Linked DNA regions of Oryctolagus cuniculus. The protein of the gene in region 1 purifies or fractionates together with the protein of each later gene. This does not show direct contact. Links are inferred from orthologs where the notes say so. Each region holds a gene or a part of one and is shown in the gene's direction. Other genes may lie near its edges.

The links.
Region 2: the proteins of SF3A1 (region 1) and ZC3H18 purify together in Homo sapiens (affinity purification with mass spectrometry; 3 studies listed by BioGRID and IntAct, with this or other methods). This does not show direct contact. The link is inferred for Oryctolagus cuniculus from reciprocal best matches to the Homo sapiens genes SF3A1 and ZC3H18.
Region 3: the proteins of SF3A1 (region 1) and dnaJ homolog subfamily C member 8 purify together in Homo sapiens (affinity purification with mass spectrometry; 4 studies listed by BioGRID and IntAct, with this or other methods). This does not show direct contact. The link is inferred for Oryctolagus cuniculus from reciprocal best matches to the Homo sapiens genes SF3A1 and DNAJC8.
Region 4: the proteins of SF3A1 (region 1) and SMNDC1 purify together in Homo sapiens (affinity purification with mass spectrometry; 3 studies listed by BioGRID and IntAct, with this or other methods). This does not show direct contact. The link is inferred for Oryctolagus cuniculus from reciprocal best matches to the Homo sapiens genes SF3A1 and SMNDC1.

What each region holds. Positions count from the first base shown.
Region 1 is NC_091452.1:23,645,394-23,650,148, reverse strand, and holds part of SF3A1 (splicing factor 3A subunit 1), read left to right. Parts: intron 1-554; coding exon 555-672; intron 673-931; coding exon 932-1,117; intron 1,118-1,724; coding exon 1,725-1,846; intron 1,847-1,949; coding exon 1,950-2,195; intron 2,196-3,016; coding exon 3,017-3,224; intron 3,225-3,632; coding exon 3,633-3,787; intron 3,788-4,703; coding exon 4,704-4,755. UniProt on the Homo sapiens protein: Component of the 17S U2 SnRNP complex of the spliceosome, a large ribonucleoprotein complex that removes introns from transcribed pre-mRNAs.
Region 2 is NC_091449.1:68,622,406-68,626,406, forward strand, and holds the start of ZC3H18 (zinc finger CCCH domain-containing protein 18), read left to right. Parts: upstream 1-1,201; 5' UTR 1,202-1,411; intron 1,412-4,001.
Region 3 is NC_091439.1:132,307,648-132,310,933, reverse strand, and holds dnaJ homolog subfamily C member 8, read left to right. Parts: upstream 1-1,271; 5' UTR 1,272-1,284; coding exon 1,285-2,046; 3' UTR 2,047-2,786; downstream 2,787-3,286. UniProt on the Homo sapiens protein: Suppresses polyglutamine (polyQ) aggregation of ATXN3 in neuronal cells.
Region 4 is NC_091446.1:19,938,295-19,942,381, forward strand, and holds the start of SMNDC1 (survival of motor neuron-related-splicing factor 30), read left to right. Parts: upstream 1-1,287; 5' UTR 1,288-1,631; intron 1,632-2,710; coding exon 2,711-2,830; intron 2,831-4,087. UniProt on the Homo sapiens protein: Involved in spliceosome assembly.

The sequences.
Region 1 (4,755 bases):
CATGCGGGTGCATTTAGCCAGCCCCGGATGATCAGCAGTTCCAGAGCTGTTCTAAACGTGGTGTGCACTCCTTCCAGACGGCCCTGCCCGTGCAGCCCAGGCCTTCCGAGCAGCATAGTCTCCAGAGCTACCCTGCTCTCCCCCCTCCAAAAAGAATTTGTGTGCAGCCCGAGAAGAAAGGGCCCCTGTGTCTGTGGGAATTGACTTTTTCGCTCCCTCCCAGCATTGCCCTGTGAGCGGCTGCATTGAGTACTGACTCACGCCCGACACCCCTCCCCAGTGTGTTAAGTGCCCTTGGCCTCTTGGGACTGCCTGGTGCCAACTGCTGGAAGTGCCTGGGAGGAGTGTTAGCGCATGGCCCCCAGCGCTCCCATTCATGCTGTGAGGAAGCAGCTTGGCCTGCTGCCGGCTGGCCTCGGCTGCCCTGCGAGGCTTAGCACGTGGACATGGCCTGGCGGGGGCCAAGACTCTTTGCTATCCTCGGCTTCCGGGGCTTAGCCACAGGGAGGTGGCTCTGTGCCCTCTCTGAGACCTACCATGGCTTTGCATTTCAGGGTTCAGATGATGAAGAAGAAGGGCAAAAAGTGCCCCCACCTCCAGAGACGCCCATGCCTCCACCTCTGCCCCCAACTCCAGACCAAGTCATCGTCCGCAAAGACTATGATCCCAAAGGTATGGCTGCTCCCAGACCTGTGTGCCCTGCTCATTCCATAGACCGGGAGGTCTCAAGGCAGCCTTGTACAAGCACTGATCGCCTTCTCTAGAACAGGCCTCATCACTTTTGGTGCCCTGGTGCCAGGCTCGAGGGTGGCACTGAGTGGATGTGTCTCACTTGAATGATGCATGAATGAAATGCCACCTCTTCACCAGGCCACACACACACACACACACACACACCCCTGCGGTGTTCTCAGAAGTCTTTTCCTTTTAGCTTCCAAGCCCCTGCCTCCGGCCCCTGCCCCGGATGAGTATCTCGTGTCTCCCATCACGGGGGAGAAGATCCCTGCCAGCAAGATGCAGGAACACATGCGCATCGGGCTCCTTGACCCCCGTTGGCTGGAGCAGCGGGACCGCTCCATCCGCGAGAAGCAGAGCGACGATGAGGTGTATGCGCCAGGTGAGCTGGGGCCCTGCCCAGCCCGTGGCAGTCTGCGGGTCGCAGTTGCGTTGCTTTAAGCAAACAGGAAGCAGTGATTACGGCTACCAGCAGCTTTTGAGGGTGGATGAAGCCTTCTGTGTTACACAGGAGCTCTCTCTCGGAATGTTCCAGAGGCAGGCGCTGGTATAGATGATGGGCCCCTTACGGCTAGGAGGGGTGCTCCCTTCCCATGCTGCCCTAGCATGAGGACGCTGATGGCTGGGACACCGAGCTCCTTGGGGTGAAACCTGGTGGGCTGGCGCCTGCAGCACCGTAGGGAGGGTGTTGTGCCAGCAAGGGACCAGGCTTTTCGTCCTGACTGCTGCTCAGTCGTCTTGGCATCCTGTCCTCACAGCTGCTTTCTCTGGCCCACCTTCCCGTGTGAGCCAGGGATCGGACAGGCGCTGGCGCTGGGTGTTGAGGCGTAGGGCCGACTGGACAGCCTTCCCCAGCGCATGGGAGTGCTGTGCTGGGGCCCAGAGTCTGCCGCCTCTGCCCTGCGCACGAGGCAAGTTGCTGCCTTGTCAGCAGGCACTGAGTTTAGTTCTCATCCCTGCTGCCTGCCCCCATGTGTGACTGCGTGCAGGTCTGGATATTGAGAGCAGCTTGAAGCAGCTGGCTGAGCGGCGAACTGACATCTTCGGTGTTGAGGAAACGGCCATCGGGAAGAAGATCGGCGAGGAGGAGATCCAGAAGCCGGAGGAGAAGGTGCGGCTGCAGGGGATCCTGGTGCCCTCCCTGCCCTGGCCTGCCCCGTCCGGGCTTAAGTCCCAGGAGTCCTGACAATCTCTGGCGTTGCTCTCCCTGGCAGGTGACCTGGGATGGCCACTCGGGCAGCATGGCCCGCACTCAGCAGGCCGCGCAGGCCAACATCACCCTCCAGGAGCAGATTGAGGCCATCCACAAGGCCAAGGGCCTGGTGCCAGAGGACGACACCAAAGAGAAGATTGGCCCCAGCAAGCCCAATGAAATCCCCCAGCAGCCGCCACCTCCGTCTTCAGCCACAAACATCCCCAGCTCAGCCCCACCCATCACTTCAGTGCCTCGCCCACCCGCGGTAAGCCAGCAGCCAGCCTGTGACTCACTTTAGGATTTATTTAATTTATTTATTTGAAAGGCAGAGAGAGAGAGAGGTCTTCATCCTCTGGTTCACTCCCCAGTTGGCTGCAACGGCCAGAATGCACCGATCAGGAGCCAGGAGCTTCTTCCAGATCTCCCACGTGGGTGCAGGGGCCCAAGGACTTGGGTTATCTTCTACTGCCTTCCCAGGCCACAGCAGAGAGCTGGATGGGAAGTGGAGCGCAAGGACTCAAACCAGCGCCCACATGGGATGCCGGCACCGCAGGCGGTGGCTTTACCTGCTATGCCACAGTGCCGGCCCCTGTAATTGACTAAAGAGTTCAGTCCCCGGGGTTGAATTCTGCTGACTGAGCGTGGCTGCTCTTTAACAGCAATTCTGAGTGCTCGTGAGTCAAGTTAAAAAGAACCCTTTAAATGGAGCACCTCGAAGCCAGTCTTCCATCCACAGGGGAGGATTGGAACGGGCAGGGAGCAAGTGGCAGGTGAGGAGCAGATCTGAGGTGGACGGGCCTCAGGGCTTCCTGCGTCTCAGGCCTGCTGGCCTCCAGGAGGCTGAGTCAGGGTCAGTGATGGACTCCAATCGTCTGAGTCCCGTGTGGAGAAAGTGGCCCTGGTTCTGTCGTTGCAGAGTTTCTCTCAGATGCCCAGTGTGAGACTGCAGTCTCTGGGCCACGCGGGGCAGAATCGGAGCTGTCCAGCGCCCATTCTCAGAGCTCCAGGTGGCTCACTGCCAGCTGCACGTGCCCTTGGGGCCCAATCTTGGCTTCCTGTGACCTCTGGGTCTCTTCCTTCTTGCAGATGCCACCTCCCGTCCGTACTACAGTTGTGTCTGCGGTACCTGTCATGCCCCGGCCCCCGATGGCATCCGTGGTCCGGCTGCCCCCGGGCTCGGTGATTGCGCCCATGCCACCCATCATCCACGCACCCAGGATCAATGTGGTGCCCATGCCTCCCTCAGCACCTCCTATCATGGCACCCCGGCCACCACCCATGATCGTGCCAACAGGTCAGTGTGTTGTGTCGCTCTCGTGGCCATCGGGTTGGGCTGCAGGCCAAGCATTGTCTGCAGAGCAGTGGCTGCTGGGAGTAGTGCCAGCTCTTCAGCTGGGTGTGCGGCCCAGTGGAGCAGTAGGGGCCGCAGCTCCTGGGGGAGATAGACTGAATTGTGCCTGTGCACCTGGGTCAGGCCCCAGGCAGGCGCCTGCTCCATCCATCGGTCCTGCCCTTCCTCCAGTGCCTCGCTGCACAGTCTGGGCAGCCTCCCTGGGCCCTCTGCCAGGGAACCTGCTGGCTGCCAGACTCAGTGGAGAGTGGCACCTCACACCTGATAGGCCAAAAGACCTCACATCCTCACTAGCCCTGAGTCTGGGCCCCTTGCCCCCACTCACGGGTCTGTCTGTTCCTGTCCTTGCAGCCTTTGTGCCTGCGCCACCTGTGGCCCCTGTCCCAGCTCCAGCCCCAATGCCCCCTGTTCACCCTCCACCTCCCATGGAGGATGAGCCTGCCTCCAAGAAACTCAAGACAGAGGACAGTCTCATGTCCGAGGAGGAGTTCCTGCGCAGGAACAAGGTATGTGACCCCTGGGTGCTACCTGTGGCCTGGGGTGTCTAGGGGAGGGGCTGCAGTCTCACCCTAGTCACATGGTGCCCGGCTGACCTCATTCCACTCCCGTGGTGGTGGCCTCCAGGGTCTGGGTTAGCCACTGGAAGCTTTTGACTGATGGGACGCCCAGTAAATGTGGGTTAACACCTAGAGGAGCTGAGTGTGACAGTGTTGGTGGTCCCCTGGTGTGGCATCTCTGGAGGCCATAGGGAGAGCCACTGCACAGGGGCACAGCTCGGTGAGAGGGCCCTGGACACCTGAAGCAAGCCCGGGTGTGGTTCATGAACTCAGTGTGGCCTTTCCTGCAGTCCTCGCCCTTGCTGGGGTGCTAGAGTAAAGGAAGGTGGGAACCGTGGTGCTGCTGCACCCCAGGGAAGCTGCTGGGCTCCAGTGAGGAGGCGAGAAACAGCCGCAGCCCCTGACGGCTCAGTGCGTTTGACCAAATCTTCTGTTTTCGTTCTTAAGAGAGTCCTGTTTTGGGCACTTAGCGAAGTGCAAGGGTGGAGCTCACCTTGGGACACTTTTCCGTGTGGGGCTCACCGCAGGGCTCTGCTGTCGCTCTGATCAGCTCTGTTGTACAGGCAGGCTGAGACCTTATGAGCCGAGTTGGGAATCAGGTCTGGATTTTACAGGCCACTTTTTTTTACACTTGTGCTTCTTGGGTGTCACAGAGCATTTTTACCCAACCTCTTCATTTCAGCTCTAGACTCGCAGGAGGACTTGAAAACAGAAAGCACATCTTGATATGGGAGTGTGACTTGTACAATATGACAAGTGTGTCAGTAGAGAATCAGGCCAGAGCCAGGTGCCCTCAGGATGGCAGAACATAGTTCCTGATTGGCTCAGGGGTCCCCAGGCATAATGATCCCCTTCTGTTTTGCAGGGTCCAGTGTCCATCAAAGTCCAGGTGCCCAACATGCAGGATAAGACGGAAT
Region 2 (4,001 bases), on another chromosome or scaffold:
TTACCCAACCCAGGACCCACCCCGGGGACCGCAGCAGGGGGAGCACTTTCTGGCCTCACTCTGGTCGGCGGTTCCGGACACCCCTAACGCTGTGGCACTTCCCGTCCGAGCAGCGGAGCCTTCAGCGGGAGGGCGTCCTGTCACTCACGCCGGATTGGCAGCTGCCAGACCCAGTCCTCACCGGCTGCGGCTCGTCGTCGGGCCGACTCCCGGGGGCGTCTCGCGTTTCTGTCGGGACCCTCGTCGCCGTGCTGCTGGGCGTGGTCAGCGAGGCGGCCCGGAGGCCCGAGCGCCTCTCCATCTCGGGCGCCGCGCAGGCCCGTTCCTTCCAGCCGCCTCCGGGACGTGCCGACCACCCGGGGCCGCGTCACACGACGGCGTCCTGGCCCGGGCCGGGGCCCAGCCCGCGCGGCTGGGATTTCAGTCCCGGGAAGACCCGGATCCGAGGCAGCCGCAGGGCAGACCCGCGTCTCCCAGCGAGGGGGCGGCTCGGCGCGCACCCGAGGGCGGGGATCCCGGACCGAGCCTCATAGAGACCCCCGGCCGCACAGTGTGGCCGGCGAGGACCCCGGGGAGCCGCCCGCAGGCCGATCCCTTTTATGTCGTCGCGGTGGCCACGCCCCCTCGTCCTGATTGGTGGAGGCACAAGCCCACACCGCTGCTCATAGGCTCAGTCGGATGGGGGCGTGGCAAACCTAGCAGGCGACGTGGCGGAGGGAGTCAGAAAAACTGGCAGAAACTGGCCAACTCAATAATCGTGGGGAGTCCTGGAAAGTCTCGGACCGGGGGCAAGCCCCGCCATCCGCTCCCTCTGGGGAAAAGCCGATTTGCCTCACAAGCCCCCGCCTCCCTGCGGGACGCCCGGAGGGAGGCGTGGCTCCCGGTGGCTGCGCGCGCTCGGGAGGCCGGGGGCCGGGAACTCCTTCCGCCTTTCAAATAAAAAAGATCTTTAAGCTTCGTGACGAACCTCCAGCACGCCTCGAGCCGCACCCACGCACCGCACCCGGCGCCCCTGCGGGAACGGGCGGCGCGGGGAGCCCCCTCGCGGGCGCCGTCGGACAGCGCGGGCCCGGGTCCGCCCCCGGAGGGGCGGGGCGCCAGGCTGCGCTTGCGCAGTGGGAGGCTCGGCGGGAGCGCGCCGCGCGGGGCCGCGCCGAGGCGCCCGCGTCGAGGCCGGAAGGAAGCGGCGGGGGGCGGGGCCAGAGAGGGAAGCCCGCCGGCCGGCCGGACGGCGGTCGCGGCCCGATGACGTCGCACAATGGCCGTACTCCGCGGGTAGTGGAGCCCGTTTGTTCCGCCCGCGCCGCCCCGAAAGCCGGAGCCTGTGAGAAGCGGAAGGGCCAAGCAGCGTCTTCTCCGCGCCGCCCCGACTCCAGCGGCGCCGTGGCCTCCTCCCCGCCCTCGCGCTGAGGTAAGCGGCCGGCGGGCGGCGGGCAGGCCGCGGCGGCGGGAGCGAGGCCCGGGGCCCGGCGGTGCGCAGCCGCGGCCGCGGCGTGGCTCTCGGCCGGGAAGTGGGTGCCGGGGCGGCGCGGGCCGGGCCGCGCCGCGGTGTGCGTTTCGCCGAAGCTGTCATTTCTCTTCCGGGCCACTCGCGCGGCACATGCTTGCGGCGCGCGGCGCGAGGAGCGCGCGGGCCCGCCCGGAGTGGCCGGCGCGGCTCGCCCGTGGGCGCTCGGAGAACTTGGAGCCCGGCGGAGCCCGTGGAACTCGGTCCCGCGGCTTCGGGGCCCCGGGGCCGCTGGCGCTGGGGGGGACCTCAGCCCTCACGACCTGCGGCCGTGCCCTGGCGGGAGCCCGATTCCTGACTCGCGGAGCCGGCTCCTCCAGGGCCGTCGGCCTCCGGACCCGTTTGGACAGACGGAGAGTTTGGCTTCGCAAGTGCGGGGGTCCCGTCGGGGTGCGGGACTCTGATCCGTCGCTTTCCCGGTGCCGAGGTCCGCGTTCGCAGAGCTCGGCCGGGACCTGGCTGATTCCCGCCTCCCAGCCCCGGTGGAGGCGGCTCGCAGCCTGCCCTGACGCTTGTCGTCTGAGCGCGTCCCAGCACGCTCGCGCCCCACAGTCTCCGTGGGAAATGCCCCACGCTGCAGAGGCGGCTTCGTGGGTTCTCCCCAGAGCAGACGGGCGCGCCGTGGCCCTGCCCCGGGCAGCAGGCCGGTGTCGGTGGCCCTGGCGTCCGACACCGGCCCCCGTCCTGTAGGCCCCGTGCCTGCGTGGGGTCGTCGGTCAGAACGCGAGGCAGCGGTTCAGATGGGCGGCTCCGTTCAGGGCTCGGCCCGGCTGTCCTCGGTCGCCAGAGCCCGCTGGACCTGTGCGGTGGGGACTGCTGGCCGCCCGAGCAGGGCAGGCTCGCTCCGCCCAGGCTGTGGACGGGTGCGCTGCAGCTTCTGACTTGGAGGGAGGAAGACCCCCAGGCCCCGGCGCGCGGGTGAGGAGGAAGGTGCTGTCCACGCGCGGGCACTTCCCGGCCCTTCCTGCTGCTGGGGTGTCTGCAGAGGCCGGCTCGCTGCCCTGGAGCAGAGCACTGGAGCGCGCAGGGCCTGCCGGGAGACCGCCGGGTGCTTTGCACCTCGCAGGCTGTGGGGCGCGCGCTGGGGTATCGGCCAAGCCGCGTTCGTCTCAAAACAGGACACTGATGCCCAGAGTCAAGGACCGGGGACTCGGCCATCTCCCGTCGCCAGCAAGGTGTGGCGTGGGCTGCTGGTGGCGGCTGGCTGGCGGGAGCCTCTGCTTGGGCAGCACAGTCCCAGGAGGGTCCGTGGAGACCCTACGGCTTCTTCCCCGGGAAGCCGGTCGGGGCCTCCTTGGGGGCCGTGTGTCGAGGGCGCTGAGCGCCCACAGAGCCCCTTTCTGTCTGACAGGTGTCCCGGTCTGGATGTGAGCCCGGGGAACACGGAAGTGGGCCTTGGCCCTGCCCGCGCCCTGTGGGGTAGGGTCTCGCGGCAGCCTTTGCACACAGGAGCCGCGGGGCAGCGCGGGGGCAGGGACAGGTCAGGGAGCAGTGCTCTGCGTACCCAGGCAAGACGTGTTAGTCTGGGGAGTGGTGCTCCCCTCTGGCAGGTCCCCGTGGGGCTGCATGGCGGAGCTGGGCTGCCTCGGATGACGACAGGTGCCTGGGTCCGTTCACGGCTCGCGCAGGAGTCGGGCAGAGCCGTCTGCGCCCGGGTCGCTTGGTCAGCGCCCAGCGGCCGTCCCCTAGGGGGTGACTCAAGCAGTGCCTCCTGTGGGCTCAGTGCGGTTGGCTCCCTGGGTTTTCTTTATTGGACTCGTGTTGCTTTGACAAATGTTTGAACGTGAGACAAGTCTAGAATGCCAGACAGTGATGTCCTGTGTTGACGGTCCGTGAGGTCGTCACTGTAGTCTGCAGATGAGCGAGCGTCACGCGTGTGGGCAGCGTGTCAGAGGCTGCGCGAGGGACACCGATGGGTCAGCGCAGAAGAAACACACGTCTGTGCTGGGTTCCGAAAACGAGCTCCGCAGACCACTCTAGAACTGGGTCCTCCTGTGCTGTCGAAGCGCTGGTCACACGTAGGAGGGGCCGCGCTGCGGCGGAGCCCCGGGAACGCCGCTGCCTGCAGTGCCACCGGCAGTGCCGCGTCCCATGTGGGCGCTGGTTCCAGTTCTCCTCCTCCGATCCAGCTCCCTGCTGATGTGCCTGGGGAAGCAGTGGAGGAAGATGGCCCAAGTGCTTGGGTCCCTGCACCCGCGTGGGAGACCTGGAAGAAGCTCCTGGGTCCTGGCTTTGGGTCGGCGCAGCTCCGGCCGATGTGGCCAATTGGGGAGTGACCCAGCGGATGGAAGACCTCTCCTCTCTCTCTGTAACCCTGCCTTTCCAATAAACAAATCTTTAAAAAGAAGAAGAAGAAGAAGTGGGGGAGAGGGGCTCAATTCCCCATGGGAGCAGTAGCTCCTTCCGTTGAGTGGGGGGTGCCGCGCCCAGCAGGCAACCAGAGAGGTCTGAGCGTGCACGGCCGCGGGCCCCGGGTTCCCCGTCCGGTACAGGG
Region 3 (3,286 bases), on another chromosome or scaffold:
AGGTGGAGGATTAGCCTATTGAGCCACGGCGCCGGCTATAAGATGATGACCATGTTTCTATGTTTCTGTGTGCAACACATCCTTAAGCATCTTCTTCAGGGCTGGACAGGTGGTAACAAGTTCTTTTAATTTCTATTTGTCTTGGAAAGTCTGTATTTCACCTTCATTTATAAATGAGAGCTATGAAAGGCATAGTATTCTGGTCTTAAGACTTGGAATATATCTCATCATTCTCTCCTAGTCTGTAAGGTTTCTGATGAGAAGTCTGCTATGAGTCTAATTGGAGATCCTCTGACAGTAATCTGGCATTTTTCTCATGTACATTTTAGAATCTTTTCTTCACGTTTTAACTGTGGTGAGTTTTATTACAATGTGTCGTGGTGAAGATATTTTCTGGTCATGTCTATCAGGATTTTTATGTGCTTCCTATACTTGGATGTCCCTTTCTTTCTCCAAATTAGGCACTAAAAAGGGCTTCTAACCCTTTCTCTCTTTCCACAACTTCAGAACTCCTAGAAATTTTATGGTGGGCCATTTGATAGTACCCTGTAGAATCCCAACAGTGTTTTTTTGTTTGTTTTCTAATTTCTTCTTGTGTTTAGCCTGACTGTATAATATCCTGTGCTTTGTCTTCTATGTCAGATATTCTTTCTTCTGCTTCACCGATTCTGTTGTTAAGGCTTCCCACTGCATTTTTTATTTGTTACACTGAATTCTTCATTTCCAAGATTTCATTTTGATTTCTCTTTAAGATCTCAATTTCATGGCAGAAATTATCTTTCCTGTCATGTATGAATTTCATTAGCTCATGCATTTGCTTCTGCTTACTTCTAAGTAATCCTATGAACAATTTTTTGAATTTCATTTCTGGCATTTCTTCAATTTCATCATCTTCACAATCTAGTACTTTACTGTTGTGTTCTTTTGGGGGTATCATGTTGTCTTCATTATTCTTATTTCTTGAATTGGTGTGTTTGTTATTTGGCATTTGTGGAGATACACCTTGGCTCCTTTGTTTTTTCACTGTGTTGGCTTTTATCTTTGGACTATGTCTGTGTGGATTAGTGGACTGTCTGCTTTCAGGGAATACCTAGAAGCATATGCTGGGTGTGGCCAAGAAGCTCTGTTCATTGCTCCCTGGTGAACGGCGTACCTGATATGACACACCCAGGTTTAGCATGGTAAATCTCCTCTTTTTTTTTATCAGAGTGTGTGGGGAGCAACTGGGAGCAACTCGGACTAGACTAAGTTACTGGAATTAAGACTTATTTTGGGGCCGGGGAAATGGCGGCTTCAGGAGAGAGTGGGGTTTCGGCCGGTGGAGGCAGCACAGAGGAAGCTTTTATGACCTTCTACAGTGAGGTGAAACAAACAGAGAAGAGAGATTCAGTTCTTACGTCCAAAAATCAGATTGAAAGGTTGACACGTCCTGGTTCCTCTTACTTCAATTTGAATCCATTTGAGGTTCTTCAGATAGATCCTGAAGTGACAGATGAAGAAATAAAAAAGAGATTTCGGCAGTTATCCATATTGGTGCATCCTGACAAAAATCAAGATGATGCTGACAGAGCACAAAAGGCTTCTGAAGCTGTGGACAAAGCTTACAAGTTGCTACTGGATCAGGAGCAAAAGAAGAGGACCCTGGATGTAATTCAGGCAGGAAAAGAATACGTGGAACACACTGTGAAAGAACGAAAAAAACAGTTAAAGAAGGAAGGAAAACCTACAAATGTAGAGGAGGATGATCCTGAGCTGTTCAAACAAGCAGTATATAAACAGACCATGAAACTCTTTGCTGAGCTGGAAATTAAAAGGAAAGAAAGAGAAGCCAAAGAGATGCATGAAAGGAAACGACAGCAGGAAGAAGAGATTGAAGCTCAAGAAAAAGCCAAACGCAAGCGGGAGTGGCAGAAAAACTTCGAGGAAAGTCGAGATGGGCGCGTGGACAGCTGGCGGAACTTCCAAGCAAATACAAAGGGGAAGAAAGAGAAGAAGAACTGGACCTTCCTGAGACCACCGAAAGTAAAAATGGAGCAGCGTGAGTGACCGCCCGGGGTCACAGCACGGAACCTTCCCCCAGCCGTCTCCCTCCCTGCTTTGAAGGACTCATTCTTTCCTCCACTTCCACCCCAACATAGAGTAGTATTTGCTTTTTAGTTCATTTTGTTTTCAATACAATTTAATATCGATCAGAGTAATTCTTTTGTACATTGAAATGAGGGGCTCAGTTTAAACAAAGACCTTCTCTCCCACCCCCACCCTAGAACAACCAGGACTGGAAGGTGCCACCCTGGGTGCTACCTTCTCCCCCACAGCCTGTAACTTAATGTTTTGTACTTCACTGCGTGTGATGGATGTGATGGTTAGAAACCTGTGTGTAGTTTGTGGAGATCATCCCATTAAACATCTTGCTTACAGTGGTGTCGCCGTGACTTCAGAGACGAGCCTGGGCCACCACAGGAAGCCCCCTTGCTTCAGTCGCTTGCTTCTGGGTGTGCCATCCTCCGAAGCCCAGGTCACAGGAAGGCAGAGTGGGCAGAGAGAGCAGTTACACTCATGCCCTGATGCCCCCTACCCCCGCCTGGTGTTTGGCACCTGTCCTCCCGTCTGCCCGACCAATCAGTGCAGCATGACACTAAGCCACCTAAACCTGTTCACTTTCCAAAGAGCTAGCCAGCCTCCATCCAGTTCCATCGTCTCCTAGCCTGTCTGCATTCGTTAGTGGTAAGAATCTTTATGTATAATAGTTTTCTACTGAGATCGTTAAAAAAAAAAAAAGAAAGAAAGACTTATTTTATGCATCTGCTCTCCCACAATATGGCGCTGGGAGAGGAGGAAACAGCTTCTACACAGCTGCCTCCAGTTCAACCAATAAACAGCAGGACCTGCTCCTGATTGGAGGGGAGCAGCGTACTCGGCGTGTGGGTAGCAGAGTTGGGATTGGTGGAAGAGGACTATAAAGGAGGAGAGAGACAACATGCACCAGGAACATCTATCTGAAGGAACACCTGTGCAGCCCCCAAGAGAGCCGGCCAGCGGTGTGCCGCTCCCCCGCGGAAGTGGGGAAAGTGGCAGGGGGAACCGCCCTTCCACGGAGGTGGAAGGGACGGTAGCCAACCCGGGAAGAACCAGCAGCAAACCCGGGGAGGGCCGAGCAGACAAAAGAACAGCGCAGGGTCCTGTGTCATTCCTCCACAAAGACGGGGAGCGACAAGAGTGGATATTTCTTTTTGTCTGTTGGCATAGACTCAGCTGAGCTCCTCTCCTCAAATGAGACCAGTGCCTG
Region 4 (4,087 bases), on another chromosome or scaffold:
CATACACACACCCATTTCTTTTGTTATTTATTTGAAAGGTAGAGTTACAGTGAAGGGAGAAAGACGGAGATCCTTCATTCTTTGGTTCACTCCCCAGATGGCCACAACAGCCAAAGCTGAGTCAGGTTCCTGGAACTCCATCCAGGTCTCCCTTGTGGGTCCAGGGGTCCAAGCACTTGGGCCATTTTCTGCTACTTTCCCAGACCCATTAGCAGGGAGCTGGATTGGAAGTAGAGCAGCCAGAACTCAACGTGGAGCCCAAATGGGATGTTGGCACTGCAGGCAGAGGCTTAACCAGGGGGCCACAAGCCAGCACCTATGAGTTTCTTTTTTAAGCATAAATGCAGTTTCTCCCCATTCCCCTCTCTTTTCCTCTTCTTCCTTCATCTTTCTCTTGCCCTCTTTCTTTGCCCCTCTTCTCTCCCCTCCCCACTTCCCCTAAAAATAAAAAGAAATGTTCCTATCACTCTACTTATCATCTGTGATTACAACTTGAGACTGTTCCCGAGGGGAGATTAAACTAATTATTTAAAGCCAAAAGGGCGGCTGGCGCTGTGGCGTAGCGGGTAAAGCGCCCCCTGCAGTGCCAGCATCCCGTGTGGGGGCGGGCCTGAGTCCCGGCTGCTCCACCTCTGATGCAGCTATGGCCGGGAAACGCAGTCCAGTGTGGGAGACCTGGAGGAAGCTCCTGGATTCTGGTTTCCGAGTGGGCCAGCTCTGGCCGCTGTGGCCATCTGGAGTGAACCAGCGGATGGATCGATCTTCTTTGCCTCTTCCTCTCTGTAACTCTGCCTTTCAAATATAAATAAATCTCAAAAAAAGAAAAACAAATAGGGCTACGAAATAAACCAACCTCTTCTCTCATAGGTTCCGCCACAATTTAAACAGCTTTCAGTTGCCACTGAGACGTTTTTCGCTTTTGTATTGTACACAGCGGTGGTTTCAACTTGAGTGGACGCTGGGTCACCTAACGGGCTTGTTAACACAGACTGCTGCACCCACCCACAGCTTCTAGCCTCCGGCCACCCGGGGCGGCGAATCTGCGTTTCTAACGCCAAGAGGAGTAGATGAGGCGAGTTCGGGACCCGCGCTTTGAGAGCCAATTAGCAGCGTAAAGGCTGCAGCGTACCTCCCACCACCACGGGCCCAGGAGACACACGAGATTACTATTCCGGGAACCTCAGTAAAAACCTCACAACAGCGCCAACCGCGCCCCACACCAAATACTCTACGCTTCAGCCGGAACTTAGGTAAGACTAACGTATATTCTGCGCCGGGCGCACCTCAGTTACGCCACTTCCGTTGCATTTGGCTCCGCCTACCAGGCGACGCTAACGCGAATAAAGCGGACCGCTTAGAGGGCGCGAGGAGTCACGTGGGTAGAGGAACCTCTCGCGAGGGTTTCTAAGTCTCGCGAGACTTCATTTGCCTCTCTGTCTTTTCCTCTTTCCAGCTCCCGGCTTTCCTCCCCTCCCCCTCTCTGCGGACTGAGTTCTTCCTTTTCACACCGAGTGGCCTTGTTGTCGTCGCGGAGATATTTCCTACTGCTGCTGCTCCTGTCGCCGTCGCCGCCATCACTGGGCTCATTTGCCCCCTTCCCTTCCCGCCGCCCCGTCCCCACCCCACACAAGGTAACAAACCCCGTTCGGGAGGGTTAGGCCGCGCCGGGCCTCGGCCTCTCCCGAGTGGAAGCGGAGGCCCGAGGCCGAGGAGCTGGCTTCGCCGCGGAGGTCTGGGCGCCGGCGAGCGTGTTCAGAGCCACTGCCTCCGACGCCGAGTGGAGCCTCGAGCCGCCCCGGCCGGCGTGGGGCCTGGGTGCGACTGGGACGCCGACGGCGCCCAGAGCCTCTGGCGGTTTCCTTGGCGGCTGATTTGTTGTTGGAATTTTGAGAGGTGACACGATCGGCCGAGCTTGGGGGGGTTTCGGGGTGCTGGCTCCTGGGGGGAGAGCCGCCTGGCTTGCTTCAACAAGCCTGTGGGGTCTTTCCGGGTCCCGGGCTTGCTTGGACGGGAGTTTTGAGAAAGTGCAGGGCTCTTGGACACCCTGAATGTTTGCTTAGAAATCTTCGAGGAAAGGTGAGTTCGCGTCTTTCGGGGGAGAACGAGCTGTGTTTGGCGGAAGGCGCGTTCCTTACAGTACGTAAATAAACCGTGTTTGAGCTGTTTTCTGTTACTGAAGAAGTGCATAGACACGTACTTAAGTGGGTGAAAGAGTTCGGGGAAAGAATTTGGTAAGGCGCTCTGTGGAATAGTTCGCGGAGAGGGAGTGAGTTGTGTAACTCAGAACCCTTTTCACGTGGCCTTGGAAGCATTCTTTCATGCCCAGAAACTTTTTTCTGACAGTTTATGGATTTTTCCCACAGATTCATGCGTTTTAAAGGTGTAACAACCTTACCATTGAACCCAGAAGAGTGCCTTTCAGAGTTTAAAGAAAATTGGAATGTCCCTTTCCCTCTTTATTGCTTTTTCTGCTTTTTTTTTTTTTATATGGAATTCATCTCCCACGGTTGTAGTTTTCAGAATCTATCGCCTTGATCCTTGTACTTTAGGTTGTTTCGACCAAGACTACGTAATGGTGGTAAATGAAGGTGCAGCATTAATAAGGAGTTAGAAGCAAAACTGGTTAATTCAGGGAGGTAGAGAAATTCTTCCTTATGGTTGGAGTTTTGGTTTAATTTTTATAGTGTGACCCTTTTATATTTCCCCTCAGATGTCCGAGGATCTAGCAAAGCAGCTGGCAAGCTACAAAGCTCAACTCCAGCAAGTGGAAGCTGCATTGTCTGGAAATGGAGAAAATGAAGATTTGCTAAAACTGAAGAAAGATTTACAAGTAAGTATGGGTGGCCAGTTGTAGTTAGCATTGCTTGAAAAGCATATTTCTGTGTTTTTCACGTGATTCGTTGCTTAGAAACCATAGGTAACGCGACATACCCTTCAGAGGGGGATACCCACACGTATATGTGCACGGACACCATGACTTCTAGGAATAGGGTTACTTTCTCAGTTTATAGGCATCAAACTAGTGGAGTGTTCTTTGTTATATAAATCTTGTGCTCCTTTAATTTTTAAAAATAAGAGTTGATTTTGAAAATATCTTTCAAACTTTTCAGAGAAGTACATACAAGAGTATTTCAGAAAGTTCATAGAAAATGGAATTAAAAGATGCTTACTTTGGTGCAAAAATGTTTTAAATACATGCATAATTTTTCCTAATAGCATTTTTATGAGCTTCTTAAATACCTCTTCTATAACTTTACAAGGGAAGAGCTTTTATTTTTCATACCTGCTAACGACATAGTTCAAAAGGTAACTAATATTAAAGAATAAAATCATAAGAGTCTCTGTAATGACACAAGATTATTTGAAAATGAAATGTATGCTTTTTTTTTTTCAAGGCGATGTACACCTTTATTTACATATTAAAATGCCTGAGACCAGTGTTCTCTGTGTAGTTGTTGATAACTTGTTGAAGCTGATGTGGAAGGCGATCTTTATTTGTTGCAGGACAGTTCAGTAGATTTATACTGGCACTAGGATCTCAAGACAGACACAAAACCATGATTGCATCTGATTCTCCATATAATAAGTTAAGAAAAATATCATAGATAATCTGTCAATACTGTACTGTACAACTATTGTGTTTTACAGCCTTCCTTAAAATTCTAAACCTGAGTTTTAAAAAGTTCCAAGGGTGTTGTAATTAGATAACTCACTTTACTGATTCAGTACAAAACTTGAATCTGTATTCTATCTAAAGAATCCTTTTCCTCTCTTTATCAACCCATTGTCTATTAAAGGTATTAATATTTTAGGAATATTAGGACTGGAAACAAATTAAACTTATCTGAAAAGGGGTCCAGATTTGGGATTCTGAAATAGCTTATCTGAGCATAATTAAGGTGAGTTGAATATTTTCAAGTTCAAATTCTAGATTTGGGATGAAGTTGGAATCATGTTATTTTTAAAAACAGAAAATACCGGGATAATTTTAACATGAGCAGGACCCTCTTCAGAATATTAAAGCTAGGTCTGTGAATATCATGGTGCCAGGCAATAAGAAAAAGATTTTTTTGAGGAACAATTTCTT